Linked DNA regions of Oreochromis niloticus. The protein of the gene in region 1 purifies or fractionates together with the protein of each later gene. This does not show direct contact. Links are inferred from orthologs where the notes say so. Each region holds a gene or a part of one and is shown in the gene's direction. Other genes may lie near its edges. The genes, in order: ddx20, strap, gemin4 and gemin2.

Region 1 (7,334 bases):
GAGTTGTGCAGTCTCAATAGTTCTTGATTAATGTAACTGTATTTTTATTCTTTAAAAGAGATAAAAAGCAATGACACCATCTACAATATCAATGACAGAGGACAAGAAAGATGTTGTGTTGTTGTCTGAATACATAAAAGGAAAAGAAGCCTGCCTGAACAGGGAAATCTTTTTTTTTTTTATTACTGCTGCTTTTATTACTGTTATGTTTTATGCCTTAATACATAGATTTGTGCAACCTTCTTCCTCATTGCATCATTTTTACTCTCTGATATTTTGTTTACGTTTGTGAAAACCATCTTGCAGTACATTGCAGAAGTTGTCTTGACTTTGTTCTGATAATCAGGATGCGCCTCTGGAGTGATAATAATAATAATTTCTACACATTTCTATTCCAAAGATTTTTTAGGCACAATTTTCTTGGGGGTCTTGATTACAGACGCAACAGTGGTCTCGTTCTCAGATGTTTGCGGCTCGGAGGACCAGGGGTTCCATCCACACAGAACCGCAGCAACAGTGTAGCCTCGAAACTGGAAACACACACACAAACACAGGATCATGGTTGGTCATGAACATACAGCATGAGCCTGAATCCCTCTTTGTGTTTGTTTGTATGTGTGAATTTCAGTGTACTTTAAACCAGCTTACCTGTCTGTTCATGAAAATGTATATGATGGGGTTGTAGACAGTGCTGCTTTTTGCAAAGTACACAGGAATGGTAGCGATGACAGGGTCGACATATAGACTGGAGTCTATCATGACAGCAAGTGCAAGTGCGGCATATGGCAGCCAGGTGACTAGGAAGGCCAGCACCATCACCACTACCATGCGCGCCACCTGCACCTCTACACGACTTGTGCTTCCTGTTTCAGATACCTGCAGCTTGGTCACCTAGGAAAAACATTCAAGGGCAAAGGACTCCATTATGTTTTCAATACAATCAACAAAAATATAAGGTGTGCGCAGCCTCTTTGTTGCTCACCTGGCGGAGAGTCCATAAAAGCCGCGAGTAAGAAACCATGACGACAGAAAAGGGCAAGGCAAAGCAAAGGAAGAAGAATATTATCATGTAGGACATGTCCCCAACATCACGGCTATGCCATTTAGGAGCACAGGAGGTTTTGACCCCCTCCAACTCAAAAGTTCCCCACCCAAACAGAGGTGGAGTGCTCCACACAAATGACCACACCCAGGACAGTACCACTCCAGCAACTGCATGCCTGAGGACAACAGAGATGGTGTCTGACATGCTTGGTACAACAAGGAACATTCCCAAGTGAGACCTTGATGGTCACTACTGTACCTGGTCTGGAAGAGGACCGCACCCATGGGATAACACACCACTACGTAACGTTCAACAGAAATGACTGCAACTGTGCACAGACTCGCTATACCTGCAATAAAGAGAAAGTAATTCATGACTTTTGCGTTCTAAGTGTTGCATTTGTGCACACTGTTGAGTGCTACATTTCAAGGAAGAAATGCTAATCTTATTTTAATGACATTAACTATAAATATATGGACTATAGTACATAATGTAACTTCAAACAAAAACAGTTCCTTCAAAATATCTTAAATAATTCACTTTAAGTAACTTTTTTAAGCTCAAAAAGTTCAAAAGCGGTCATTAGAAAATGAAAGTTTCCACAGGACTGCGTGCATTTGAAATACTAAGCAAGGTCTGGACTTTGACCAGGTCACAACAGCACCTTGACTCTTTTCTTTTTTCAGCCATTCTGTTGTAGATTTGCTGCTGTGCTTGGGATCATTTATCTGTGGCATGACCACATTGTGGCCAAGCTTTAACTGTCAGACTGACATTTGTCTCAACAATACTTTGGTATACAGCTGCAAAACAAACACAAATCATCACCTCTGAACCACCGTGCTTAACAGCTGGTATGAGGTGTTTGTGCCGATGTGCTGTATTTGGTTTTCACCTCTCTGCAATAGATCCAGACATCTCAAATATAGTCTTATCTGTCCAAAGGACACTGTTCCAGATCTTGTGTTTTTTTGATTGTTTATTCAGATACAGCTTTGCAAATCTGACATAATATAATTAAATTCTCTTCAGATGCTTTTACTTGAGGTACTTTTACTTGTACTAGAATACCTTATTGTATTTCTTCTTTTATTTATGTGAGGAAAAAGAAAATGTAGACTCACCGAAAAAGGAAACAGCAAAGGCTTCTAACACACAGCCCACACGTCCCAGGTTGAAGTATCCCATGGCGCTGGTCACTGTGGTGGGCAGGCCTCCAAACACAGCACAGCCCAGGTCACAAACAGCTAGGTTAACCAGGGCATAGCTGAGTGGCTGCCTTAGCTGTCTGTGCTTCACCGTCACCACAATCACCACGACATTGAGGATGATCCCTGCCACAGAGAACACACCCATGATAACGGCCAGAATTGTGTAACCAGTCCGGGACAAGAGCTCCGTGTTGGCTGAGCTGTTAGATGATGAAGAGTTTCTGTGGAAGGCAGCACTCTCCATTTTGCTCTGTGAAGATCAGGAGAAGAATCTGGTGACAGTATGAAAAACCTCAGTGATGCCTGGTAAAAAACAACAAACAAAAAAGTGTCAGATCCCACACATCTAACTCTAAAATGGCCACATTGTCAGCAAGGCAAATAAAATAGCAAGTTCAGGTATGTGTTTAGCATTTTTTTTAATCATTTGATAAATAATGTAGCAATAAGAACAACTACAAAACTGTTCAACAGATACTGCGTGCTTGATATTCTGAGAGCGAAGCGAGGCCCTCTAAATAAGCCCAGTAAGAGGAGAGGAGGCCGTAGATGACTTGCAATTCTCAGAAAACAAAATCCGTCGAGCCGGATTGTGGAGAGAATAATTCTGTCTGATAGCCTCTAAGACTGCACTTTCCATGATTGCTCAATTTACAGCTGCTCGTGAGTAATGATGCAAAACGTTCATACAGGATCGACCGATATGTCTACAGAATTCCTGCTGGTTTGTCACACATTTTGTAGCCAATAATGGAATAAACTGGTAATTTATGGATACCTGTCCTTGCCTTTTTATGTACTCTCATTAAAAACTAATGAGACGTTAGCCTGATTGAGTCACTTAATGACACAAACTGGTTAACTCGTGGCTTATTTGAGAATGAGCTCAGTGTCAGTGTCTCTGTTTATAATCATCCTTAATACCTACACAACTCCTAATGAATGAATGAATGAATCCATAAAGCTAAAAAAGAAAAGGTGCAATAACAGAAAAAAATGACATTGTGATTTGTTGAATTAAATTCACCTTGAAGATCTCATTTACATTTTCTGCCCAACAGATCTATGGATCCATCCATAAGCACTTTACTAATCACTAATATATTGCTCCCCAAAACTATATGTGATTACATTTGCAATTTCTTGGCATGCTGAAAAAACTCAATGAATAATTCCTCTTTTTTAAGAGTTAAGACACTAACTAACATTGGCTGTAACTAATAACCTCATCAAAAGACAGTTTCCTGCACTGAGCTGTTAAAGGCCATCAATAAGAACTTTTGGGTTATTGACTTATTGCCATAAATAAATACTCCTGTACTGTTAATGCAAAGAAATCTCAACATGTAATTCTCCAACCAGTGGCAATCCATTATTTCCATTGTCTGAGACCGAACTCTATCCTCCAAGAAGATAATGCTCAAACTCACAGAATGAGGTTTATCAGAAACTATCTTCAGAATTGAAGAGTGAGGATGATAGAATGGCCTGCCTGCAGTCCTGACATCAACCCCATCGAACACTTGTGGTGTCAGCTTGGGTGTGCTGTTTGTGCCAGAGTCACCAACACTGACACATTGGCTGACTTGCAACAAATGCTGCTTAAAGAATGGGATACCATCCCACAGCAGTGCGTGACCAAGCTGGTGACCAGCATGAGGAGGAGGTACCAGATGGTTCTTCCACATGCTACCAAATGAATAAACCATTAAATTGCTAATATGCATCTTCAAACTTCAAAAATACAGTCCCATAAACTGCACCAAACAAGATTCAATAGCAGAATACTTTGTTTGGCATTGGGAGAGAAGATTTTGCAAGTTTTTCATGGACACAGCCCACATAATCAACTCTGCTGCTCAGCCCACAAATGCATTTTCCTTAAAAATTTAGCACCACTTAGGGGGAAATAAACAGGGTTTCCAACCATATAAGATTTATTGCCAAAAAGTGTGTAATCGACCAATCACACCCAGATGATTGCGCAGAGAAATTAATTCCCCTCCGCATCGCTAGAGGGCGCTAAAGCGCAGCTGTGTCTCTGCTTTTTAACCGGGTCACCGGCAGTAAACAGTACAGCAAACATGGCTACCTCCGTCAGGAAAGCAGCTCACGATATCGAAGCGCGAAAGCGGACCGAAGACGTGATTCTGTCGGAGGGGATCGACTTCGGTTCCTTGCTGCTGTCTCAGCCCGTGTTGGACGGACTGTCCGCCGCGGGATTTCAGAAGCCGTCTCCGATCCAGCTCAAGGCGATCCCGCTCGGCCGCTGCGGACTCGGTGGGTGCAAAACAAAACTGCGGGAGGGTTCACATGTGTGTGTGTTGGGGGTAGGAAAAATAAAGTTTTCAGTGTATAAAACTTATAATTGATTTTATAAAAAGAGCAACAAAATACCTTATGTATGCACGTGAAATCAAATCACTAACTTACATTAGTGCATTACATACATCAGGGATCAGAATCTGTTATCTATCCATCATATATAATTTTGCATGTCTGCTCAGATACATGACTGGCACTATAGTTAAAAATGATTATTGTTATTATTATTATCATCATCATCATCATTATTTTATGTTATTTTTTTTTTACAACTTTTTAAAGTATTTTAATTTAAATTTTTTGTTGCAAAGCATATTGGTCATACATATTTAGACGCAAATGATTAATGTGATGTGATATATTATGCCTCAAATCTATCTATCCATTCATTATCGTCCGCTTATGCATCTCCTCATAAATATGAAATGAAAAACTATTGTTATAATTATTATTACTGCAATCAAAAAACACACTTATGGGCAAATTTATGGACCTAAAACTTGGGTGGCTGTGGTTAATCAGGTAGAGCATCTACTAACTGGGAGGTTGGCGGTTCGATTCCCAGCTCCTCTAGGCTACATGTGAAGTGTCTTTGGGTGAAACGCTGAACCCAGACTTGCTTCACGCTTGACTGGTAAATCCAAATCTTTGCTTCCCGGTTCAGCTAACTCTTCATCTCACTGGTCCAGTAAAGTCGGCACATTACTTCGATACAGCACCAATCTGCCTGCCTATTTCCGTTTTATCCAGACACATGAACACCTTTGTCGGGAGGTAATATTATCTGGAAATAGAAACACATGAGAGCTAAAAGATAAAAGGTAGTTTATCTAATTTGACTTCCTCCCATGAGCTACCAGCAGCATCTCCTTACAACGTGCTCCTCAGAAAGACTTTAGCTTTCCTTCATGTAGGACAACTCATAACTGTCCCTGAGGTAAATTAATAAAAATACTTCCCTGTCCTTTTGGCCACTAGTGCAAAACTGACATTTGGACTTATTAAAAGAACATAATGTAAAAAGGTTATTACATGTGATATCATGGCAGTAGAGACAAAGCATCGTGTATCTGATCTAAAAATCTGTTGGTACAATAGCTGGGTGTGTTAGAGTTAGGTCTGTTAGTAAGTGGACACTGATGCTTTTTTGTGAATTTTAAATCAAGTTGTCAAAATGTATTTGAAGGGAAAACTTTCAGCTTTAATTCAGAGGTTTGACAAAAGTATGAACAGTAAGACCCCAGACCCTAAAGAGTTGCATCAACTGTTCAGGAAGAATTTCCACTTTCTTTGCCCTCTGAAACTCTCGGGTTGCTTCTGCAGGATGCTCTGAGTCATTTTCCATTTGCATAGTTTTGCAGCACTTGGATGAATCTGAATTCCCCTTTACACTTCAAGGTACATCCTGCTACCAGCAATCACATCATCAATAAACACTCAAGGCCCAGATTCACAGGCAGCCATGCATCCCTGTGATTTCACAGTCATAGTTCGTAACATTAACTCCACTCTCTTTGATAGATGGTGCCTCTGATTCCCGAACACTTAATGCAATACTTTTGTTGAACCCCTTGAATTAAGCTGAAAGTCACATCTTCATCAAATCCACTGTGATGTGTACACAGGGAAAAAGAATATAAACTTTATGGACCTAACTGCAGAGATCTTCTATATTATTAGTTTAGAAAAGAGCTTAATATGGCCCCGAGACTTCAGCTGTAATCCAAATATTTTTTTACTCTGAATAATTCAATCATGTATTACATTTTAATGTAGTTTCTTAAAACATTTCTTTATACAATATCAAATTACATGTTTTCAGCTTCTATGTCAATAATATATATTTCATCTGTGCAATATTCTGGATATTTATAATTGAGCTATATATTAGAGTTTCTTCTATTTTGTGAACTTTGTTATATTATCGTATAATTTCATTTAGTTAAGTCTGTTACTGTTGTTATTGTCTATCTACTGTAACTGTACTACACTCAGACTGTACACTGACTTTTGTTGTAAACTTTCCTCAAAGCCATGGTCAAATGAGAACAAATCTTTTTGTTTTAAAGGATATTAAAAAGTATTTTATTTTGAAAAGCTCGAAACAACTACATTAGTACTACTAAAGTACTTCTTTAGTCCTTCTTTTGACTATCATAGATATCACAACTGTTCATCGTGATTCTGAATCACTCTTTGGGATCAAATGTGTTTATTGCCTTTAAACATTTTACTGCCTTTACGAGGTACAAATTCAGAATAGTTGCTTTCCACCTGGAGGTTGCCTGTGTGTTGGAAAAGCTCTCGGCTGCAGCGGTGATGCAGAATGTGCTTAATTTCATTGTACTTGAGGTAAACACTTGTTAATTTAAACCATGGTAGGAGACAATTGATTTGATGCTGAGGATTAGGCAGCAATACTTCACCCAGTCATGGTAATTAACTGCTGATGCCAAAACTGTCATTTGCCAGCCCTGTTGTGCATCGCTCACTGAGTCTCTCCTTTTAGATTTGATTGTACAGGCCAAGTCTGGGACAGGAAAGACATGCGTGTTCTGCACCATCGCCCTGGACTCTCTGGTCCTGGAGAATCCTTCAACCCAGGTCAGTATAATATTTGATTATGAGGATATGACCTACGTTTGCACTCGGACGGTTAAAGTAAAACATCATCAGAAGAGGGAAAGGGGAAGTTTTATTATTTAATCATTTCATGACCAGCAGATGGCCTTCTGCTGAGTTTAAGCTGCTTA
Region 2 (7,100 bases), on another chromosome or scaffold:
GAAGGTTACAAATGATCTTCTTATGGCCTCTGACAGTGGACTCATCTCTGTGTTTGTCCTGCTAGACCTCAGTGCAGCGTTCAATACTGTACTGTACTTAGAGCAATTAGAGCACGCTGTAGGTATTACAGGTACTGCACGGCAGTGGTTTGTATCATATCTATCTAATAGACTCCAATTTGTTCATGTAAATGGATACACTTCACACTTCCCACACTAAGGTTAATTATGGAGTTCCACAGGGTTCAGTGCTAGGACCAGTTCTGTTTATATTATACATGCTTCCCTTAGGCAGTATCATCAGACGTCATGGCATACATTTTCACTCCTGTGCAGATGACACCCAGTCTCCCTAGGCTGGACTACTGTAATTCATTATTAATGGGCTGCCCTAAAAACTTGTTGAGAAACCTTCAGTTGATCCAAAATATTGATATGGACTAGAAAGAGAGAGCATGTTTCCCCCAAATTGGCTTCTTTTCACTGACTCCCTGTTAAATCTCAAATCTCCTCACAGATCTCATAGTACCGTATCACCCCGCTCTAAGACTGCTGGCTTCCTTGTGGTTCCTTGAACATTTAACAGTGAAATGGGAGACAGAGCCTTATGACATTGACTGGCCCCCATGCTTGCCTGACCCAAATCTGCTAGAACACCTAAGGGACGTCATATTTCACTGCATCTGACACTGCCAGGTTGCACCTCAGACTATCCAGAAGCTCAGTGATGCCCTGGTCCAGGATGATTTCCTGTGTTCTGGGCCACTTAACACAAACTTTAAAATGTGTGAGGGATTGACTGAATTAACACTTAGGAGTGGATTCATTCAATCATGTTCATAGGAAACAAAATTAGCACCAAAAAGTTAAAATTACATGAGAATTAAAGACAACAAACACAACGGTAACTTGTGCTGCTATTAGTACATGCTAACTTAGTCTTAGTTGTTGCTGTTCATAGCAATGAAAACAACTGTACAATATCACAAAAAGTTGATTCTGTTCTGTCTGCATCTGAGGCTGAATCTCATGTGGTTCCTGTAATCAGCCATCTTACGTGCTGTTTGCTCATACTGACGTACACATTTAGGCAGTCCTTGCCAAAGTGGGTTAAAATTTCTTGATGCATGCTAGATGATTGAGCATGCATCAAGACAAACTGTAAAAAACACAAAAATGAATCATGGATTCAGTCCTGCTCCTGTAGGTCATCTCTGTCCTGAATGTATTTTTAAAAAGAAGACAGAAGAGAAACAGAGGCAGTGGAGATGTAGCCTGGTCACTTGAATTTAAGAAATTCCATTTGGAAAACAAAATATTCTCTAAATTAATGGAGTCACATGGACACATATACACATTCTCACAAACTGGTGGATTAATGTTAGCATACAGTAGCTCTCCAATATATGTAAGTCAGAAAAATTACACGATCCCAAATTTATCTCTGAGACTCAATGGAGGTGAATCATTATCACCATTAAGCTCCAGTGTGGATAAAAACCCCATGCAGAATTACATAATTCTATAAAATATATTGAGTAGTAAAGCTGAGTACTTTAAAGTCTTGAAAGACAAACAAACTACACATGGTGAAATTCCCCAATGGTTCTTTAAAACTCTACCAACATTTCTATGGTATGACCCAGCTAAGCCTTGCAGAATGTGCTGTTTCATGTCGATAAATGGCCAGTGCCCATCCATTCTCTTCTGCTTATCCTTATCAGGGTCACAGGGCGCCTATCCCAGCTACCATCACACGAGAGGCGGCGTACACCCTGTACAGGCCACCAGCTTGATGTAGGGTTAGCACAGAAAGAAAGAAACCAGTCGATTAGGAGTGAACACCTAATCACCAGTTAACCTAACCCCATTAATTACATGTCTTTGGACAAACACATGGAAATTCCACCACACCACACTCCGCAAAGATGGTAGGGTCAAATTGGGGTTGTTCTTGCCAGGAGGCAACAGTGCTAACCACTGCACACCTGCCAACTAGCATGAAGGAAACCAAAGTCCGTGGGGAGTATGGTTGCAAAGCTGAAACTTAAAAAGAAGGGGACAACCAGAAGTGTAGCCTGCACCGTTATTTAACTCTAAAAGGGGAAACTTCACCCAGCCTGGACACTGCTACTATATCTGGTATGTGGACTGAGATTTATATAAAGCTCTTCTAGTCTTACTGACCACTCCAAGTGCTTTTCTACAAAAAGCCACATTCACACATTCATATAGCCCTTTATTCTTTGCCATAAATGCTTCATCTTTGACACTCAGACAGTGACCGACTGGTAATTTGGGGAGTTGGTATCCTGCCCAAGGACACTTTAATATGTAGACCTCTCTGATTTACCCTAAGATTGAAGGAAAGCGAATATTAATCTCATGTTCATTACGTGGATACAAACGCAAACAGGTTTATGAGGTGCCAGCGTTGTTGTATTGTATTTAGTGGCTTTCTGCGCTGCCCTCAGTTATGCTAAAGATTTTAGGTAATGTTGATGTCCGGGTTCTGGGGCAGCCTGTCCATGACTGATTGTATTCTACTGTGCGCTTTTCTATCCATGTATACTTTTAGTGCAGTGGCAGTGCATTTGGGATCGTTGCGATACTGAAAAATTATTGTTTTTGATGGAGTTTTTCCAATTTCTTTAAGATATTTTCCATAGATGCAATTAAAGAAATGGGCAGGTGTGGCTCAGGCGGTGGAGTGGGTCAGTGGATTGACTCCTGACTCCTCTAGTCCTACTTGTGCCCACAAGTAGCCTTGGGCAGTGTACTGAATCCTGAGCTGCTCCTGATGCATCTGTTGGAATTTGAGTGTGAGTGAATGTTAAAAAATACTTAGGCATAGATTAAAGCACTGAATGCGTATGTATGGGATTGGGTAAATGAGACTTGGAGCAGGAAGTCCTGTGAGTGCTCAACAACAGCACCATAAAAGTACCAGCCCATGTAATAATAATGTGTTTTGTTTCCAGCAGCCTGCAACACAAGTTCCTAAAGATACAATTTAAACTGGTTCTTTGCCAAGTTGCCTGTTAAGTGTAGTCACGGGGTGCCTTTTTATGCTCGAATGATTCATAGGTCAGTGTTAAATGGATTTAAAAACAAAAACCATTCCTCTGAAAATCGTCAGTTACAAGGACTGGACTGAAGATGAGTGGAAAAAGCTGCCATTGTCCAAAAAAGCCCATGAGAAAGCTAAGAACTACTGAAACCAGTTAAAAATGACAAGAAAACCAGACTCGGAAAACTTGGAAGCATGATATAAAGAAATGGTGGGTGTATGAGGGGAATTTAGTATTTTGGTCAGAAAGTTTGTAGTGTGTGAAATATAATGACTTGATTTAAAAACAGATTAAATAAAGAGCATAAAGCAACCAGCCTGTATTAAAGTACCGTCTTTAATCTTTGACAAGCTAACTGAAGCCATATTGGCTAAAGAGCTGGCATGTCCAGCAGGTGTGACTACAGGTGAAGTGTGCACAGACAGGCTTTTTAATGAACCACCCTGTGAGCTCATAACATCCTCCAGCGGGTGCAGGTGAGAAGGTGCTGTCAGAAACGCCTCACGCTAATCAGACCAGTGCATGGCTTTCGAGTAAGGAGTCATACCCCTGCTGACCCCACCTCCTGCAGCTGCTCCAGCTCCAGCCTTAGCGCCTCCTGCTCGGCCTCCAGGTCGGCGTACTGCTGCTTCAGGCTCTGGTTCTCCTCCAGAACCGCCAGTCCGCACTCCGCCGCCCGGATCTTCTCGCGGTTGGCCTCCGCCAGCTCCCGGGTCAGGCGCTCCACCTCGGCCCGATATTCCTCTACCGTATCCCCGCATCCTGCTCCTCCGGCAGCCATCGCTCGTCTGTCCCTCCCTCTGCCCTCTCCTCCCTGCGGCGGACGAACAGAGAGACCTGCCAGAGGGAGAAAACAAGCCCCACCGCCTCCCCTGGGGGAGTCCCAACGTCCTGCAACTCAAACAGCACCAGCGAGCATCCACGGCTTTCACAGCGGTGCTGCCATCGCAGCGGGAGTATCCTCTGCCATGCGATGCTCGGAAAGATGCGTCCTCTCTTACCCGGTCTCCTCCCTCTGCTTCGGTTTTCTGCTTATTCACCGGCAGCAGGACGCCATCTCTGCCCGCAGCCGTGAAGCAAGGCACCTTCCTCTCTCCCTCCCTGTCATCCTGCTGCACACTGAGCGTTTACAGTAATACATCCCCTGCACGCAGCGCCCTCTGGAGGTAAGAGTATAAATACACTCTTTCTGTTTTATGGAGGCGAACGAAACAAAGAGTTTTAATAGTTTCATTCCTGGTGTGAGATCTGCCGGTACCTCAACACTAAAAACTACAAACTATTCGCATACAGCTGCACGTCTTTTACAAAGCCTTCACGGGCTCTTGAACTGCGCTCATCCAAGTAACACTGACAGTATGTGCTGTGATAATATTACATACATAAGCAATACAAATAAACAATCAATCTCTGTTTGAAATATTAGTATATGTCCTGTTTACAAAGTAGCTTTGATGCCTTCCATGTCATAACGTTTAACTGTGTCTTTTACACGATGAAAAGTCTGAGTTAAAGTCTGAAAACGAAAACGAGCTGACGGGTAGCTCATGAAGAATAGTGGTGGGTAGATCAACCCAGGTATTGATAATAACGATAGATATTTATAGAACATTTAAACTATAGAAGCGGCATTTAATAATTATACATCTAATAAATAATGACACATAGGCATAGGCTACCCCACATAAGCCTCCTTTATAGGGTAAAAGGTATTGGTATTGGTATGGACATTACTGGCCGTTTTTACTTGATATCGGATCGATATCAAAATTTCTCTCAGCACTGCTGAAGAAGCCTTTATTCAATATTTGTTCATTCAAAATTTAAAACGTATCAATGTCCGTTAGAAGCGATGACACTTTTACTATGAAAGGCATCGGAAGTGTTATCATCGTGATTAGCGGAACTGGCGTAACACACCGGCAACATCATCGTCTCTATGGTTGTTTGGCCGTGTCACACGTTGCTAGTTAGTTGCAATGTTGTAGCTATTAGCACGGTAGCCGTTCCTTCGCTGGAAGGTAGAGCTGTTCGACAGACCTACAGTTTATTCTTTCTGATTCACAGTGTGAGCAGCAGCAGCAGCTAACTGCTATCCAACGGAACATAACCTACAAAGCTAGCTTGATATCTTGTTTTCCTTCTACTCCGCTAGTTTTCCTAGCTTGCTAGCTAGCCGCTAGCATCCAACCGTCTCCTCTGTCAGTGCGAACCGTCTCCCGGCCGGCCGGAGGACCATGGCGATGAGACAGACTCCCCTCACCTGCTCCGGTCACACCCGGCCTGTGGTGGACCTGGCCTTCAGTGGAATTACTCCTTATGGATACTTCCTCATCAGCGCCTGCAAGGGTGAGAGGTGTTGGCAGGACTATGAACATAAAGTAGGCTGTGAGAATCTGATGTTACTGCTGGACGTGGTCTGTTGCGGGTTGGGCTTTAAAATGAGCCCTTTATAAAACATGTTCTTCTATTGAGGGACTTTGTGTCTTTGTATTGTTTTCTGGTGTCATTAAGTGTGTCTGTGTGCGCGCGGGGGTGCGTATGTGTGTGAGCCTAAGAGAGAGAGAGAGAGAGGCACATGCGGCTAGCTTAACTACTGATGGTTTACCTTCCTCCTAAAGTTTGATCTCGAATTGTATAACTTTGTTGAAAGAGTATAGAAAAGAGTAAATCCTGCTTATCATTATCTGATCATGTCCTAAAGACCATGATCAGATAATGATCGCCTCTGGGCTGTCAGATGGTATTCCTGCCCTGAGAAAGATGGCGTTTGAAAGCAAGCAGTGTTCCTATTCCTGGATTTCCTAGGTTAAGTTCAGTTCTTTTTTTCTTTGTCTTTTTTTTTTTTTGAAAGAGTCATTTATTAATAGCTTGCATGGAGGATGCTGACTCGCCAACTAATCAGTATTGAAGTGAGCAGTAGTGAAGCTGTTACAACTGAAGGCAAACGTTTTACGAACAGCGAAGGTGTGCCTTCAGTGTCATGGTTGTGCCTAATCGTTTCAGGGTTAAACCAACACATTGCAAAAGATGCAGCTTTTGCTTTGAAGGGAGCATTTTGTTTGCACTGCACTCTTCACTTTCACTACCATTTAGCAACTAATTGGCAAGTTCTTGCAGACAAGTCTGCATGTTCCATACAAACGGTGACGTGGCAGTCTGCTAGCAAAAAAAGCAACTGCAAGGAGGTTTTCAATGCAGTACCAACTCTTTACAACCAATTTTACCTAGCAACAATGAAAAGTCAACCTAGAAGTCAGTGACCCCTGCTTGTCACACAGTCAGCAGGACCTAGCAGACACCAAGGGTGTCTGTGACCTAGCAGACACCCTTATACTTACTGTCGCCTGCCATTACACTATGAATCTCACATCCTCTCTGCTTCTCTCCATCAGATGGCAAGCCCATGTTGCGCCAGGGAGACACAGGGGACTGGATAGGAACGTTTCTGGGTCACAAGGGCGCTGTCTGGGGAGCCACTCTAAACACAGACGCCACCAAAGCAGCGACTGCTGCTGCCGACTTCACAGCGTGAGTTCACACACTCCGACTAAACTAGCCTGAAAGAAGCAGTGATCCTCAGTGCTCCTCTCTGTGGATCATCTGTCATGCATCCATTGGCAGTGTTGTATTGTTGTATGTAATCTGAAACCTCAGTTCATGTGTGATCTGGTCTCATTTGATTTCAAGATAACCTTAAACGGCTGTTTTGCTTCATGCTATGGTATTGATAATCGATCACTTAGATGTGAGCACTAGTACAGGCTCCAGGGACCTTTCTAGCTTGCATATATCAGTGACGTAGCCTACATGCCTTTGTGATAGACATGGTCACCATGGTAACCCTTGCTTTCCCAGCATCCTTCTAAGGAAAAGCTTTACACTGAATAAAGTAAAGCCATTTTTATTAGTGTGATCCTGACCTGAACTCTGTGGCCAATAGAATATCCTGCTGCTCCTATTATTTCATTCTTATTTATCCCTCTGTTCCAGCAAAGCAAGGACAATTCTGCTATTCAACATTAAGAC
Region 3 (8,008 bases), on another chromosome or scaffold:
ACTGCAAATCATCCATTCTGTTTATTTATCTATATTAATAATTATTTTCTGTAAATAATATAATTTTCTCTGATATATGTTATTTATATTATTTTCTTTACATTTTACACACAACTTTGCAACTTTTTTTAAATTGGGGTTGAACATGCTTTATATGTCAGTTGCTCCCAACAGCAAGCGCGTGTTCCTCAGGTGTGATTTAGCTGCAAGTCTGTATCACTCACCTGAGTGCAGGTAGCGCCGCTTCACATACAACAGCAGGATCACAACAGAGCCCACAACGAGGTACAAAATCCAGTTGGCTGGCTCTGAAACAGAACACACATGAAGCTCTGCTCCTCCCAGGCTAGCTCCTAGTACTATACTGACACTCACCTTCCACAATCAGAGTGAAGCTCTTTGTGATGGGCACTTTCAGGGACTGATGGGAGACGCTGCATGTGAACTTTTTCCCAGAGTCCCTGAGCGCAGCCTGGAGGTAGAAAACACCTGACAGCGAGAAGGTCATGTCCCTATTTTCTTTGTGGCTGAACAGAACACTATGGTTCAGTGGCTTGGGATGTGGAGTGCCTGGATCCTCCTCGTACCAAATTATCTCCACATCCGAGGGTAGTAGCCATTTGCCTCACACTTAACCATCAAGTCCTTGCCCTCCTGCAATAACAGGGTGGTTCCAACATTGAGGGAGACATGGGGAGACTCTGAGGAAAGGAGAGAGAAAAATAAATAGTAATTTCAATACCTAACAGCAGACAATTATTATAGTAACTGGCCTGTTTTATTTAATTCATTTATTTTAATTTAATATTCTTTCAGGTCAAAACTGGTGACATTTAAAAGTTAAAGTTTAGATTTGGTCTGAGTTCCAGAATTATAGGAAGTCAAATTTAGTAAGATGCATTTCAGGTTACACACTTAACAGAATAATAAAAAAAATATATATATATAAAATCTCCCACCCAGGCTCCACTGAGCATGCATTTTTATCACATACAGTAAGTTCAGCACGGACACAAACAGGCACATCAAGCGTTAGATCTGGATAAAGAGAAACATAAACCTGATCATCACTTACACCAATGTATTTTGGTGTAAGTGATGGAAAAACTGAAACTGCAAGTGAATTTCATTAACATCAAACATTGTAAAGATTATAGAACATATAAGTTTTTTGCAACTTTCTATCGATCCGCCAAGGAGGTTCTGTTTTCGGTCTCGTTTATGTGTCAATCTGTCTATAAACATGAACGCTTGAAAAGTTTTAAATGAATTATGATGAACCTTGGAACTGGTGTAGTGGAGTGTAGTGGAGTAACAATCCAACAAATAGATTTAACAGTTCATTAAAATTTGCCTTCCATCCATCAATGTTAGTTGAAAATAGATTCAGAAAGCAAAAAAACAACCTAATAACTAAGAAACTGAGATTCTTAAAAGTGTGCTATATATTGACAGCATATAAAAAGTACCATATAAAGATTTCAAATATCATGTCACATTTGACCTCTTACCTTTCCTTCAAGGTCAATAGATTGATCTGAAGGTCAAAGTAATAAAATGCTATAAAGAGCTATTTAAAAATAGGTTTCTTACTCTCATTGTTTGTACTGACAACATATACAGTACCAGTCAAAGGTTCACAGTTTCTTATGGCAAGCACAATAATCAATCATTACTTTAACAACTGGAGATCAGTCAGTCTGGAAAACTGCTAAAATTTTGAATTTGTCCCCAAGTGCAGTCCCAAAAACCATCAAGCACTACGATGAAACTGGCTCACATGAGGACCGCCCCACGAAAGAAAGACCAAGAGTCACCTCTTCTGCTAAGGATAAATTCATCTGAGTCACCAGCCTCAGAAATCACGAGCTAACAGCACCTCAGATTAGAGCCCAGATAAATGCCACACAGTAGCAGACACATCTCTACATCAGCTGTTCAGTGGAGAGTGTCCGAATCAGGCCTTTGTGGTCAAATAGCTGCTAAGAAAGCACTACTAAGGAAAAGCAACAAGCAAAAGAGATTTGTTTGGGTCAAGAAACACAAGAAATGAACATTAGACCAGTGGAAATCTGTGTTTTGGTCTGATGAGTCCAAATCTGAGATGTTTGGTTCCACCCACCGTCTATTTGTGTGACACAGAAAAGGTGAACAGGTCTCTACATGCATGGTTCCCACTGTGAAGCATGGAGGAGGTGGTGTGATGGTTAGGGGGTGCTTTGCTGGTGTCACTGTTGGGGACTTATTCAAAATGGAAGGCACACTGAACCAGCATGGCTATCACAGCATCCTGTAGCAACATGCCATCCCATCCGGTTTGCTATTAGTTGGACCGTCATTTATTTTTCAAATTAAATGAGAAGGTGTGTCCAAACTTTTGACTGGTAGTATAGACATATAGGGAATGGTCCAAACCTATGTACCTTGAATCTGCAGATATATATCCACCTTGGCGAACAGTGGATTCACGGACACTGAACAAATGTAGGTCCCTTCACTGATCATCGTGGTGGAGGCGAGGATGTAGGAGGCATCTCCAGCCGCAAGGGCATGTAGTCCGACACCGCTCCCCTTGGTCTGTCCTGTGCGCCTGTTGTAACTGAAGAGCTCAGTCCTCTCACCAGGGCGGTGCCTATGCCACTCTACGGTGACCTTTGCACCCTTGTGGTCGACATCAAACTGGCAGTGGAGCTTTTGCTGGAACTTCAGGCGTGCTTTAACTGAGGGAGTCTGTGTTTTGATGACCATGGCGACTGCAGAAACAGATGTGACAAACAACACAAGTGTCCTTTACTCAAATAGGTGACAACCACTTCCTGTATCTATGACATGACAATTATTTGGCCATCCACCATTCCAAGTCAATATAACTATAACTGTCTCTCTCTATTTCTACTCTAATCTCCGAGACACAAACACAGTTTCTTTCAGCACTCTGTCCTTAAATGTCTGCTACTGCAACAGGCAGGCAATTAAATAAAACCCCTAGGAGATAGTCTGTGGGGCTCAACAAAAACACACCATCCTCACATGTGAGTTTACCTGCGGTGGTGAGTACCTCTTTGTCAGCAATGACAGACCAGTTGTGGTAGTCTGGCTGCCCTGGGGGAGGCTGGTCAGAGGGGTGTCTGAGGGAGCCAGCGACTGCGAAGCGGCCCCTGCTGTGTCTGAGGATGCAGGTAAACCAGTGGTTGTACTCCCGGGCACCGAGGACAGGCCAGCGAATGTAAGTGCCCTCTGTGCTGTATCTGTGCAGCTCACACTTCAGCTGCTCTGCCTCCACCCCCTCCACATACTGCAGCAGATCCAACTTTGATCCTAGAAGATGATAAAATAAACACTAACACATTGTTGTTGTTTTTTCAGCCTTCTTCTCATGCAGGCTGCAGTAACTCACTGGTGACCAGGAAAGTGATGGCGTTTGGGTTAACAGGAGCATCTCCTTTCTGACCAAACTGAAGTATAGCCTCTCTGGGGATGACCCGGGTTTCAGTGTGGTTGTCCTTGTTCAAATACAAACGCTCATCAATGAAGTAACAAGGCAGCCACTGGATCTGATGGACACTCCACACACCTGAATGACACGAATACTTCAGTCAGACAGCATAGCCGTTGGAATTCATGCGGTAGACTAGAATATCTATAGTCACTTTTGACCTAACACGCACAAGCTGACCTAAGCTAATCTGTGACAACGTGTTGCACTATAACTCACCTGCACTTAGATACAAGTAAAAAAGTATCCTCAAGATTAAAACCGTCATTCTTTCCCGGTGCCCTCCACTGTCGGACTCCTTGTTGTCTGATGTCCACACAAAGTTTCTCTTGATACTTTCACTTTCATTTCAAAGGAAAAAGAAAAAAGGAGTGCGATTTCTGGCGTGATGAGCAGCTCGAAAACCAAACCTTTAAAATAAAAACCCTTAATCATAATCAAAAAAGTTAATAAAATCCAGAATATATGCTAGAAAAAAAAATAAATAAATAAAAAATCAGGATACAACGTCCTAGTTCTTTTTACAGCGTTCCTGTTTTCATGTTAGACGTAACATTATTGTAGCTGGAGCCTATCCCAGCTGCCACGTGGCCAGAGGTCTGTCTGGTAGGAAGACTGTGGTAGGTGCATATTTTACTTTATCCATTACCACACAAACGGACTCTAAACTGTGAGCGGTACCCGGTGTACTTGGAGTCATGGGGCAAATGTACTCCATACTCAGGATTACTGAAATGTGACTATGTGAACCACCGCACCACACAGTTTAATAAATAGTTCACAGCAGTTCATGAGGAGTCAACAGCTTGCAACAGGTCCTTTTGCTTTTGACTTTATATAAAACTCGTAGTACTGACTTTGCCCTGAGGTGTCGCTGTGAGCGCATGACGACAGCAGCCTTACTAGTCTTTCCGACACCAGAGCTGATGGACGAGAACCATGTCACTTCCTGTTAATCTCGTTTTACAGAAATTCACTATTTAGTTCACCTGAAAGTCCTGAAATAATAGCAGTGAATGTAGCCAAAGCACTCAAATAATTATTTCTCCATGCCCGATTTTAGGTCTAACAATCTACATCATACGTTATTTAGATATTGGGAGCGTAGTTAAACCACAACAAAACCTATCATGCATATGAGAACTGCTTGTGGTGGTCGAAGGTGATTACTGTCTGGAAGTTACTGCCAGAAGTTTTCCGCGGCTGTTTGTTTCATGCCTGAAAGCAAAGTAGTCGATGCATTATGCGGCTCTTGGTGCTGTTTGTATTACACCGAAATGTTGGAATCCCATAAAAAATGTGAAAATGGAGCTATATCTATTAACTATTAAGGAAAATATTTAAAAAAAAACAACAACAACAACAATAACCAAAATTGACATTCTGGGGCTACAGAGCCATAGAACTCTATTCATTCTGCCATATGCTTAGAGCGCCCTCTATGAAACCGGAAATCCACAGAGTGGGAGTTCTTGATCATGAATTCTCTCTGGTTGTACACGCTGATGCTAACAGCGGAAGCGCTTTATACAAAGTTGGTGTCACTCTGATAGAAACCTTTGCTGGGAGGTAGTTTCGTGTTTGCTCTCTACTTCATTGGAACTAAAATTAGCAAACTAGCTTCTTAGCATCCAGGTCCACTCTGCAGCTTTGACACTAATAATGAACAAAGGTAACCGCTACACTTCTCACGTTCTCATACAGAAAACACGAGTCACAATTTCTCTTATGCTGTAGTAAATGTTGCGTGTGCTAAAAGAAAATAACAGCAAACCGTGATTTTTCGCCATAATCAAACCCCCCCCCCCAAAAAAAAAATTAAATAGTATCAGCTTTAGCAGTTTAAGAGGTAATGCTGTTCTCTAACCGCTCTGCTGCATGTGTGTGAGAATGACAGAACAGCGACATTTTATTCTATATATATTTATATAGCTTGTATTAATTCTGTGTGGAACTGAAAAATACACACTAATACCTTATTCTACAGAGTGTGGCTGTTCATATAAAAGATCACGATTTAAAATAATGAGATACAAGTAACCTCTCTGAGCTCAGGCTTCACACCATGTTCCTTCCACTGTCAACTTTAGATGAGCCAGAGTTGAACTTCAGCTTATCCCCAGTCAAAAGCCATTTTCAAAGTGGCATTTTTTGGTCTTAAGATCAAATGTGTTGTTTTTTGCGCATCTTTGCCATTTTAGGCTAATTTAAGGAGCTGAGAGGACAGTTAAAAATTAAAAAAAAAATCAATTTCCTCTGGCAAATATGAGTTTTGATGCCTTTTCTCTTGTTCTTTCAGATTCGACAGTACTTCAGGGAGCTTTCCTCCTGGCTGATAAGCTGTGTTCCCCCTCATGCCTGTCCACCATTCAGAAAGCAGACTGGAGCCGGGTGGGACATGTGATCCTGGAAGCACTCAAAGAAATCTGCAGACAGGATGAAGTCAGTGACTGTCCCAACCGAGCAGCCGAGAGCTGGAAGAAGAGGATGGTTTGTGTTGTGTGGCTGAAGCTGCTGTGCAGAGAGGCTGAGGAGAACGTTGAGTTGGCTTGGAGGGAGAACCCTTTCTTCTCTCTCCAGAACAGCCTCCCTAAGGTCAGCCGTGTCGTCCTGCTGGAGCTGGTGAAGTCAGCAGCAGCTGCGGGTGTTTTTGCCAGTTTCCTCCTGCGTCTTCCTCACGCTCAAATCTGTGCTGAGCTGGAAAGGCTGGTGGAACATGTGAGGAGCGATCCCGTAGGGGAAGACGATATCCGACTCCTTCTGGAGGTTTGGTGGGAGCTGTGGAAAGGCAGAGCGGAAGAGAAGGTTGGAGAAGAAGAGAGCATAGAGAAGATGTTTGCCAGCCAGCTTGCTCACCTCTCCTCTGAGTCCTCCAGTCTGTCCCCTCAGGCTGCAAAGAGGTTAAAGTTAGACACGCCAGATTCAGCAGATATTCTGCACATTCTCCTTCACGCGCTTAAAGGCATGAAATGTCACATATCCTCAGCTGACCTCTGCTTTCAGTCCTTATCCATTTCCCTCGATGCTCTTTACACAACCTTCCTGATAGACCAAAACGTGGTGCTTCCAGCTAAAGAGAAGTTGGACTGTTTGTGTAAAATCCTCCAAGCCAGAGAGGAGAACATGGAGAAGCTGAGTCCTGAAATGATTCAGGAAGCTCTGAAAGACTTGCGTGCTTCTCACACACCTTCTCAGTTTCAGCTGTGCCAGATGAAGCTGAGTGAAGCCCTGAAGATTATCACAGAGCTTGCACAGTTTTGGCAAAGCAGTGTTCTCAATCAATGTGACCACTCCAGTCCTAGTTACTCTGCTTTCCTGCTAGAACAAAGCATCCAGAGGGTCCTGGCTTCTCTAGAGGAAGCACCCGGAGCTGGGACTGACGACTTTGAAGGAGAGAATGATACACTCAGAGGTGTGCTGAAGTCACTGTCCCTCCCTGTAGCAGAGAGCAGCCCTGAAGTGAGCGCAGAGGTCGCTGCTGTCATTATCACCCATCACCTGGAAGACTCTGAGGACTTTGCAGTGTTGTTTGCCAGTGAGCCATCATGGGCAGAACGTGCGGATCGCTGGCTCGACTGCCTGGAAAAAAACCAGGGGGCCTTCCGGCAGCACGGTACCCTCATGAGCCTCGCCTCCACCCTAATGAGCAGACTCCATAGCAAGAGCGCTAACGTGAAGCAGTGCCACAAACTGCTGAAAATCGCTTCAGGTATTTTCTCCACACTCACATTAGAAGACCAGAACAAAGCGTTGGCTGCCATGCTGAGATTATCCAGCAGGGGGTTCTTCGAGTGCTCTGTACCTGCTGCTCTAGCTGACGGGTTTGAACAGGAGCTCAACATGGCCTTCAATTGCATCATTCAGGGGGCGGGCGGAGCTTCAGCGGGAGCTTCACAGGGCAACCTGACTACGGCAGCCTCTCTAGTTGCAAGAGTAGCCTTTCAGAACCCCGAAGCCACTTTGAGGTCCTGCTGTCATTCGGCTGTTTTTAACAAAGGAGCTTTCTCTCTAATGGCTAAGATCCTGGAACAGCTGCCAGGACTCAGAGACCAGAGGGGAAGAAGAAATGGAGGGAGAAAAAAGGTGGTGTGCAATTTACTTGGCAAGTGTTTACAGGACGTGATCCAGACCAAGTCACTGTCAGCAACTGAAAAAGAACAGTTCCTCAAGTTCCTGAGTCTGCTCATGGAGCCCGTCACTTCAGCTGAGGGAGAAGGAAAGAGGGAAAGCATTCTGTCACCTCAGGAAGTCGTGAACACCTTTGTCCTGCCTAACCTCTCAGCTACAGGTGAGTCTCACATGTTTATGTTTACCACAACCTACATTAGCTAATTTCTTAACATTTTACAGTTGTGATCAAAAGTTTAGAGCCACTCATCATGGATATGAATATCATGGCAAGTCTGGGCTTTTAACATTTTCAGGGTGGAATGATTGTACAGCATACATGTGTAATGACTTTGAAAAAAACAAAACAAGAATTGGATCCACAAGTTTTAATTTATTTTCACT
Region 4 (7,150 bases), on another chromosome or scaffold:
GTGTTCATGGTGCTCAGGATCTTTGCCTCATAATAAGAAGACTGCACTGTTTTTCCCTCTTCATCTTTCTTCTCTTTTTCCTGTACACCCTCCAATTCTTCTTCCCTCTGTAACTTCTCCACCTTGTCCTCTTTTTCCTTCTCTGGTAACTCTTCCATCTGCAGCTGTTTTCTATCCTCCTTTAGCTCTCCCATCTCCCCCTGCATACTCTCCACTTCTGCCTCATTAGTCTCCTTTTCTTCCTCATCTTCCTTTTGCTCTTTCACCATTTTCCCTTCACCTTCTTTCTTCTCTTTTCCCTCTAGACCCACCAGTTCCCCTTCTTCCATTAACTCCTCCACCTTGGGGTGTTTTTCCTCCTCTGTATTCAAATGTTTGTTAGCCTCCTTTAGGTCTTCCACCTCTCCCTGCATGCTCTCCACTTCTGCCTCATTACTCTCCTTCTCATCTTCCTTTCGCTCTTTTATCTCCTTTAAATCCTCCAGTTCCTCGTTATCCTCCACCTTCATCACCCCTTGATTCCCCCCATCCTTTGACTCCTCCTCTTTTTCAGCCTCTAATTCAGAGCTTATCGCTGACTTCAGGTCATTTTCATTTAAATCTTCTTCAGTGCCTGATGCCTCTATCTCTATTTTAACCTGCTGGGACTCGTTTATGTTGTCTTCAACAGTTTCCTTTAGCTTGCCTGCATCACTGTCACTTTCATTGTCAATATGCTCCATCACTGGAGACACAGAGGGATCTGTGGCTAGTCCACTTGTTCCTCTGTCATCCTTTGGGATAGTTTGAGTGCTTCTGACAGGGTTATGCTGTGAATCCAATTCCTGTGAGCTCAGAGTTTCTCCCTCCTGCTTTAACTCCCCATGAACTGTCTCTGCTTCTGTGTTATTATCAAAAAGAGCTATTGTATCTGAATTGTCATCATTTGTTTCAGCACTATAAGGAGTAAAACTTTCATTCTCAGCTGGAACTGGATTGTTTTTCTCCATAGATGACGGTAAGTGAGGCTGGCTATCTTTGCTACTGTCTTCTACATCACCGTTCAGCTCCTCAGTCTGAGTTCCAGATAAATCTGTATCCTCATTACTGACTTCTCCTTTATTATCGTCACCCCTGGCAATTTTAAGAGCCAATTCTGTGGTTTCTTCTTCTGTGTTATCAGTTTGATTTGTGATTTCTGCCCCTTCCTCCTCCACACTTTCTGATTTCTTGTTCTCCATCTGGTCTTTTTCATCTTCCTTGACCAGCACAGACTTTGACTTTAAATCCACTGAAATGTGATCAGGGCCCAAAATGCTTTCAGATGGTGTTATAGAATCCTGACTGATAGCACTCAGAGTTTTTCTTTCTTCCTCTCCTGGCTCCCTGCTGTTATCCATATGTTCAGCGTCTTCACCTTCCCTTTCTGCAGATCTGTCCTCATTAATTTTGCTTTTTTCTATATTGTCATCATCATCTTTACTGGAGAGTGATTCTGCTAAAGCCTGAGATTCCTCTTCAAACTTCCTATCAGGAGAAATATCTTTGTGATCAACTGTGGGTTCAGCCTCTTCATGGAAATCACTGTTTATCCCACTGTATGAAGTATCTGTGTTGCTATCAACACTGTGACCATTAAGGGGTTCTGTAGGGGTATTTTGGTCTTCTGACAGTTCTTCCACCTCCTTTGAATTATTGCTTGTCTTAATAATTTCCTCCTCTGGTTCACTGTGATCCACATTCTGCGATCCTGTTGGTTGCTCTAAAGTTGTGACTATTTCTACCTCCTTAGATTCACTTTCTTTGTTTTCATCATCTCCAACTTTATCTTTCCTGAAACCTAGAATACCTCCAATCTCCATGTTTAACCAAGAATTAGCCTGCACCTTCTCCTCCTTCTCCTTCTCCTGTCCTGACTCCTGACTGGTCAAACCAAACCCCAGCGTGCTTGACAGCCCATTCCCTAGCCAACCTAAAGTCCCCATCTCTTTCTTCTCCTCTTCCTGCAACTGGCTGCCTTCAAGGTCCAAGGACATCCTCCTGCTCCTGAATTTCTCTGTGGGTTCTTTGTCTTCATCTGCTTCTTGTTCCTCTTCTGTCTCACTTTTGCTTCCACCTCCAAAGCTGAGCCACCCAGTCATTGTTGAAGTTAACGATTCAGCAGTTTCTTCTTTAAATTTCACACTTTCTTTGCCATTGTCAGGTTTTCCATTTCCTCCGAAGCCCAGCCAACCTGTCACAGAGGACGTGAGCGAAGTTTCAGCCTGAGTTTCTTTCCTCTTATCTTCTATCTCCCCTTCAGCCACACTGTCAGGTTGGTCCTCTTTACCCAGACCTAACCATCCTGTCACTGAAGAACCAAGCCAGGAAGAGGAGGGAGACCCACCTTGTTGATTAGGAACCACAGGAATCTCATGTGTCTCCTCTTGAAACCCAGCTCCGGAACCACCAACATTTTTATTCTGATCCTCTTCTTGTTCTTCTTCTTCCTGTGCAGAAACTGGGGAGTCTGAGGTTGTTAAGTGGCTTTCTGCTTTCGTGTCATCAGTGCTTTGGGTAATTTGGGTGGTTTCTGGCTCCTGGATTTGGATTTTCTGATCAATATAATCATCATCGTCATCATCATCATCATCCATATCCAGATAAGTGGAGCCAAACTCATTCATGCAGAAGAAATCAGATTTCTGCAGAAAAAGGGCAAAATTGTAATTCTTACGGAAGGACACAAGGAAGACAAAATAGAAATAATACTAATAATTACAATACTTTTTAATACTTAAAGTTTGTTTACATGTGAATGATGAAATTACCTGTGTTTCCACTACTTTCTCCACAGTAGTATAAACCTCCTCTTCTTGCACTGTGTCCTTTGGAAAATATCCAAACTCTTTGTCAATCTGAAATAAAAAAGGAAACAAAGGAGCTGTCAGCATTTTTCTTCTTTCTACCTTGAAGAAACACAGAAATCTCAACATTTGTCGTAACAGATTATTCTTTAAAAAGATGCTCTGTCATTTGGTGTTTCTGCATTGATGATGACTGCAAACATAATCTTTTATAATAATCAAATAATTCATTCTTCCTTTGCACAGAGAATTGGGGCACTGTTATTCTGAAAAAGACCAATCCCATCAATCAAAGGATAAAGGTCATCACACAAGTTTGTACTGATTGATTTGAGGTTGCCCTTTCATCCTAGGGAAACACCCTGGCAGCAAACTGCCCCAAACCTCACAGTATTACAGTGCAGGGGTCAAGGGATTAGGTTTTCTTTCTGTCTGTCTCTAAGTGAGCACCTGGCATGAATGAAGCTTTAGGGAAGCACAGAAAGGAAAAAAAGATTGAAATATGACACATACACTGCCTGCCCACAGGTCATTCCTCTTTCCAGTCAATTTGTGGTAAACAAAGATTGTGTCTCCTTGCCTGAAGCTCAGGAAACGACAGTCCTTACCACGGTGGTCCCTTATGGCCTGCACTCTGCTTAGGAGCCCTGCACACACCACAGCAATAGAACACAGGGGTGAGGTGACCATCATTATCGTCATTAATTTAAGGAGCTATCAGGAGATTTTGAACTTACTTTGACACTCAGAGTCTCCGCAGATCTTGTAGTCAGACAATAATCCGAGATTTAAGTGGGGTAAAATCACTAAAACTGCACCCAGTGACCACAGGAACCTAGAGACCTGAAAAATAGCCATGATTATCTGACTTTTAACTGGAGGCTATTAGTAGTAAATGTCCATAGTGGGGTGGAAATAACTCAGGCCCGTTGTGCTGGCAAGTGAACATTGCCTCTGAGCTGCTGCTGTGTGAAGACTCAATACTAAATGAAACAGCTGAGATAAGATATAAGGCCAGTATGGGGATAATCATTAACATCTCAGGCCTGCTTGCAATACCAAATATTATCAGTTCGCTGGTCAAAGGTTTCTATTTCGTTACAAGACTTAATTTTAATGGAAAATTGCTTTAATTGACATTTAATTGAGATTTTAATGCGTACACACATAAACGAGGTTCCGGGTAAACGCCATGGCAACTAAAAACAGACCCATTCTGTTATTTTCGACCTTTCTCCAGGACTGACAGCTGGTCTGTTGCTGTGGCAACAAGGCAAACGCGCGCACAAAGACGACGTCATCACTGTGCGTTTGTTTTGCGAGAGAGATGGCGGTCTAGTCTGGTTGTGTTTACTCTTGGTAAAAGGTTAGTGTTTTGGTCCGTTGCGAGTCCGTATTTTTAATTGAGCTTGACTGCTTCATTTAGCTAAAAGCTAGCCGAGCTTACACATTCAGTCACAATGAAGTCAGACGTAGAGGAGTTAATGCCGAGGCTGCTGCCCATGGAGTGTGGATCCGGTACCGGTGAGGACCTGGACCTAAGCGGACCGCCGAGAAACCCCCAGGAGTACCTCCGACAGGTCCAGTAAGTGCATCCCAACCTAAAGAACACACCTCTTATTAATACTCGCGTGTAATTAACTCTTAGATTCTCTTTGCCTGTTGTCTCTTTGGTGTGTTAATATATTAGTTGAGGTGGTCGTGCTGCTTCAATGAACTTTTTTCCTTTTGGACAGGCTGGAGGCTTCATTGTGCCCAGAGGTGGTGGTCGCTCAGATTGACCCAAAAAAACTAAGGAAGAAGCAAACAGTGAATGTATCTGTAAGTAAACTGAGAGGCAAATGTATTGAGACCAGTTGATGCTCCAGGTGTATGACAAATTAAAGAAAATTACAAACCCCTGACCTTGATAGTGAGAGGGTTCATTAGCTTTGTTACTGTGTGGTGTCTGCAAAACAAAGTATTTCAAGTATTTTTACCTTGATGTGAGCAGTCAGTCCCACTCATCATGCATGTGAATGGCCTAAAAATGTTGGGCTTTTAAATGATTTCTTTGAATTTTTCTTTTTTTTTTTCAGGATGGAATGATTTTAAAGCATTCACTTCAATAACCTTGAAAAACAAGAATTGGGTGCACAAGTTTTAATTTACTTTTGATTTTCTGTAATCCACAAAGAGTCAAAACATTCATACCCACGATGAGTGGATGGAAACTTCTGAGCACACCTGTATGAATCTTTCTCAGTATCGTTTCATAGTTTTCATTGCACAGTTAGAAATGAATGATAGGCTCTGAAAAATGTTGTGCTGTGTTCAATTTTTACGTTGATCATGTAAACAGTATACAGAAGTTCATTTAGCAAAGAAAAGAAGATGCTATACAAAATAAAACAAAATACATTTCAATAATGCATCACCTGTTCTGATTATTTCTCAGTTACATTTTTTGTGGGGTTGTTTTCTGGTTTTTAGGTGGCAGGGTGTCATGCTGCTCCAGTGGGTTTCTCCCCAAGTCTAAGATGGCAACAACAGCAAGTCAGCAATTTCTCTGAAATCAGACAGGTAAGAGCCTTTTTGCTGTTATGATATTATACAATAGCACAGCCTAACAGAATTCACTAAAACTTTTTGTAGGTCCAAATCCGCACAAATCTGTACAAGTGGATATTTGACAATTTATGAACTTTTACAACATTTTTTTCCCTTTAGAGTATCACAAGGCACAGGAAACACTGGACCAGCCAGACTCTAGATGACAACGTGCTGATGGTGATGTGATAATGTGTAAATTTGATGCTTCAGCATGCAATGCTTTCCTCTAATAACCTAATAAATCCCTCTGTCTTTCTCCAAGAGGCAAACTTGAAAACAGAATTTATGTTAAAATTTTATGTATGCGCGTATTTGTGTGTTACAGCCAAAGCTAACGGATGAGGAGGGTTGGAAGAGGTTTTGTTTAGGAGAGAAGGTCTATCTGGGCACTTCATCCACCCACACAGATGCAGAACAGGAGCCAGCACTGGACTATAGCAAGGTTATATATGTAATGGCTATATCTCAATGTTTTGTGTCATCATGAATACAATCTGTAAGATTTTTTGTCAGTAAAGAAGCTGTCGGTCATGTCTATCACCCATTGGATAATGAGGTTTTGAAACTGGACCTGACACCACACACTTACAAGTAACAACCTGTGATTGAAAATCTTCCTAATAATGCCAATAATTTAAAAAAAATCACTTCATTTTGTATTCAGTGTGAGCTGAAACTAGTGACTGAGTCATCAGGGAGTTGTGGGCCATTTTTCCACAGATTTCTATGTAAATGGAAGTGTTTTTATTTAGAGTGAAAGCACTTCTGCATCTGCATTACTTTTCAGACCCAAAATATGTCCTGCTCTATTTACCTCAGCATTTCTCTGTCTGTTCAGATGGGGTTCCCTCCCTTCCTAAGCATCATCAGCAGACTAAACCAGGTAAACGATCCCTCTGTAGACATTCAAGATGTTCTAAACCAGTCGAAGCCTGATTAGACGATGTGTGTGTTTGTGTTTTCCCACCTGTCCACAGTCCACAGTGCTGATGGTGTTGGAAATCCTCATCGGCTGGTTCGAGGAACGAGAATTTGTTCCACAGTTGGTGAGTCTGATGTATTAGCGACACATTTTTATGCTGGTTCCGAACTCCACACGCATTTATAGTGATCCTGTGCTGCATTCAAGATAGATATGAGCTGACTATGAATGCATTCCTCACAGATATCATGAAACCAAACATTTCTTCAGCCTCTGTCTTATGTTTCAGATATAGAAGGTGATGGTTTATTGGCTGCAGTTATTGTGAAATACTTGAGTTTGCAGTCTGTCTTCTTGTTTCAGGGACGCTGGTTGTATGCTTTATTGGCCTGCTTGGAGAAGCCTCTGTTGCCTGAAGCTCACTCATCCATCCGACAGCTCGCCCGGAGATGCGCCCAGCTCCGCAGCACGTTGGTAGGCCACAATCCTACCATCTCCTGTAAAGCACTATCTCTATGTGCTATCACTCCATGCTTGAAACGGCCACAGCATGCCATGTTTTTCTAGTTCTTTGTTGAGATTTGATGGGATTTTATTTACTCTGATAGTCTTTTCCCTGCTTGCATGACTTCACAGGACAGCCAGGAAGATGATAAACTGCCCGCCCTCAACCTGCTCATCTGTCTTGTTGCCAGGTAAGGTTCTCTGTATTTTTGTTATATGGAACTCTGTGTAAAGAGAGCCCCTTAAATGTTTTTTTTTTTTTTTTTTAAACCACCAGTGTCTAAATTGTTCAGGGTGATGATACCAT

What was found.
Region 2: the proteins of ddx20 (region 1) and strap purify together in Homo sapiens (affinity purification with mass spectrometry; 3 studies listed by BioGRID and IntAct, counting the BioPlex papers as one, with this or other methods). This does not show direct contact. The link is inferred for Oreochromis niloticus from reciprocal best matches to the Homo sapiens genes DDX20 and STRAP.
Region 3: the proteins of ddx20 (region 1) and gemin4 purify together in Homo sapiens (co-immunoprecipitation; 7 studies listed by BioGRID and IntAct, counting the BioPlex papers as one, with this or other methods). This does not show direct contact. The link is inferred for Oreochromis niloticus from reciprocal best matches to the Homo sapiens genes DDX20 and GEMIN4.
Region 4: the proteins of ddx20 (region 1) and gemin2 purify together in Homo sapiens (affinity purification with mass spectrometry; 6 studies listed by BioGRID and IntAct, counting the BioPlex papers as one, with this or other methods). This does not show direct contact. The link is inferred for Oreochromis niloticus from reciprocal best matches to the Homo sapiens genes DDX20 and GEMIN2.

What each region holds. Positions count from the first base shown.
Region 1 is NC_031984.2:17,471,899-17,479,232, forward strand, and holds the start of ddx20 (putative ATP-dependent RNA helicase DDX20), read left to right. Parts: upstream 1-4,320; 5' UTR 4,321-4,340; coding exon 4,341-4,536; intron 4,537-7,090; coding exon 7,091-7,185; intron 7,186-7,334. Other genes in the region: parapinopsina (parapinopsin a), read right to left, coding at 390-530, 649-891, 983-1,220, 1,304-1,394, 2,170-2,500.
Region 2 is NC_031980.2:31,843,039-31,850,138, reverse strand, and holds the start of strap (serine-threonine kinase receptor-associated protein), read left to right. Parts: upstream 1-4,099; 5' UTR 4,100-4,237; intron 4,238-4,933; exon of another isoform or gene 4,934-5,092; intron 5,093-5,226; 5' UTR 5,227-5,308; coding exon 5,309-5,420; intron 5,421-6,466; coding exon 6,467-6,602; intron 6,603-7,100. Other genes in the region: protein bicaudal D homolog 1, read right to left, coding at 3,634-3,852. UniProt on the Homo sapiens protein: The SMN complex catalyzes the assembly of small nuclear ribonucleoproteins (snRNPs), the building blocks of the spliceosome, and thereby plays an important role in the splicing of cellular pre-mRNAs.
Region 3 is NC_031979.2:1,528,708-1,536,715, reverse strand, and holds the start of gemin4 (gem-associated protein 4), read left to right. Parts: upstream 1-5,006; 5' UTR 5,007-5,158; coding exon 5,159-5,168; intron 5,169-5,795; coding exon 5,796-7,784; intron 7,785-8,008. UniProt on the Homo sapiens protein: The SMN complex catalyzes the assembly of small nuclear ribonucleoproteins (snRNPs), the building blocks of the spliceosome, and thereby plays an important role in the splicing of cellular pre-mRNAs.
Region 4 is NC_031983.2:25,158,485-25,165,634, forward strand, and holds the start of gemin2 (gem-associated protein 2), read left to right. Parts: upstream 1-4,129; 5' UTR 4,130-4,285; coding exon 4,286-4,410; intron 4,411-4,561; coding exon 4,562-4,646; intron 4,647-5,297; coding exon 5,298-5,387; intron 5,388-5,534; coding exon 5,535-5,594; intron 5,595-5,742; coding exon 5,743-5,859; intron 5,860-6,255; coding exon 6,256-6,300; intron 6,301-6,394; coding exon 6,395-6,463; intron 6,464-6,702; coding exon 6,703-6,813; intron 6,814-6,975; coding exon 6,976-7,034; intron 7,035-7,150. Other genes in the region: mia2 (cTAGE family member 5), read right to left, coding at 1-2,663, 2,790-2,876, 3,339-3,472, 3,563-3,668, 3,993-4,019. UniProt on the Homo sapiens protein: The SMN complex catalyzes the assembly of small nuclear ribonucleoproteins (snRNPs), the building blocks of the spliceosome, and thereby plays an important role in the splicing of cellular pre-mRNAs.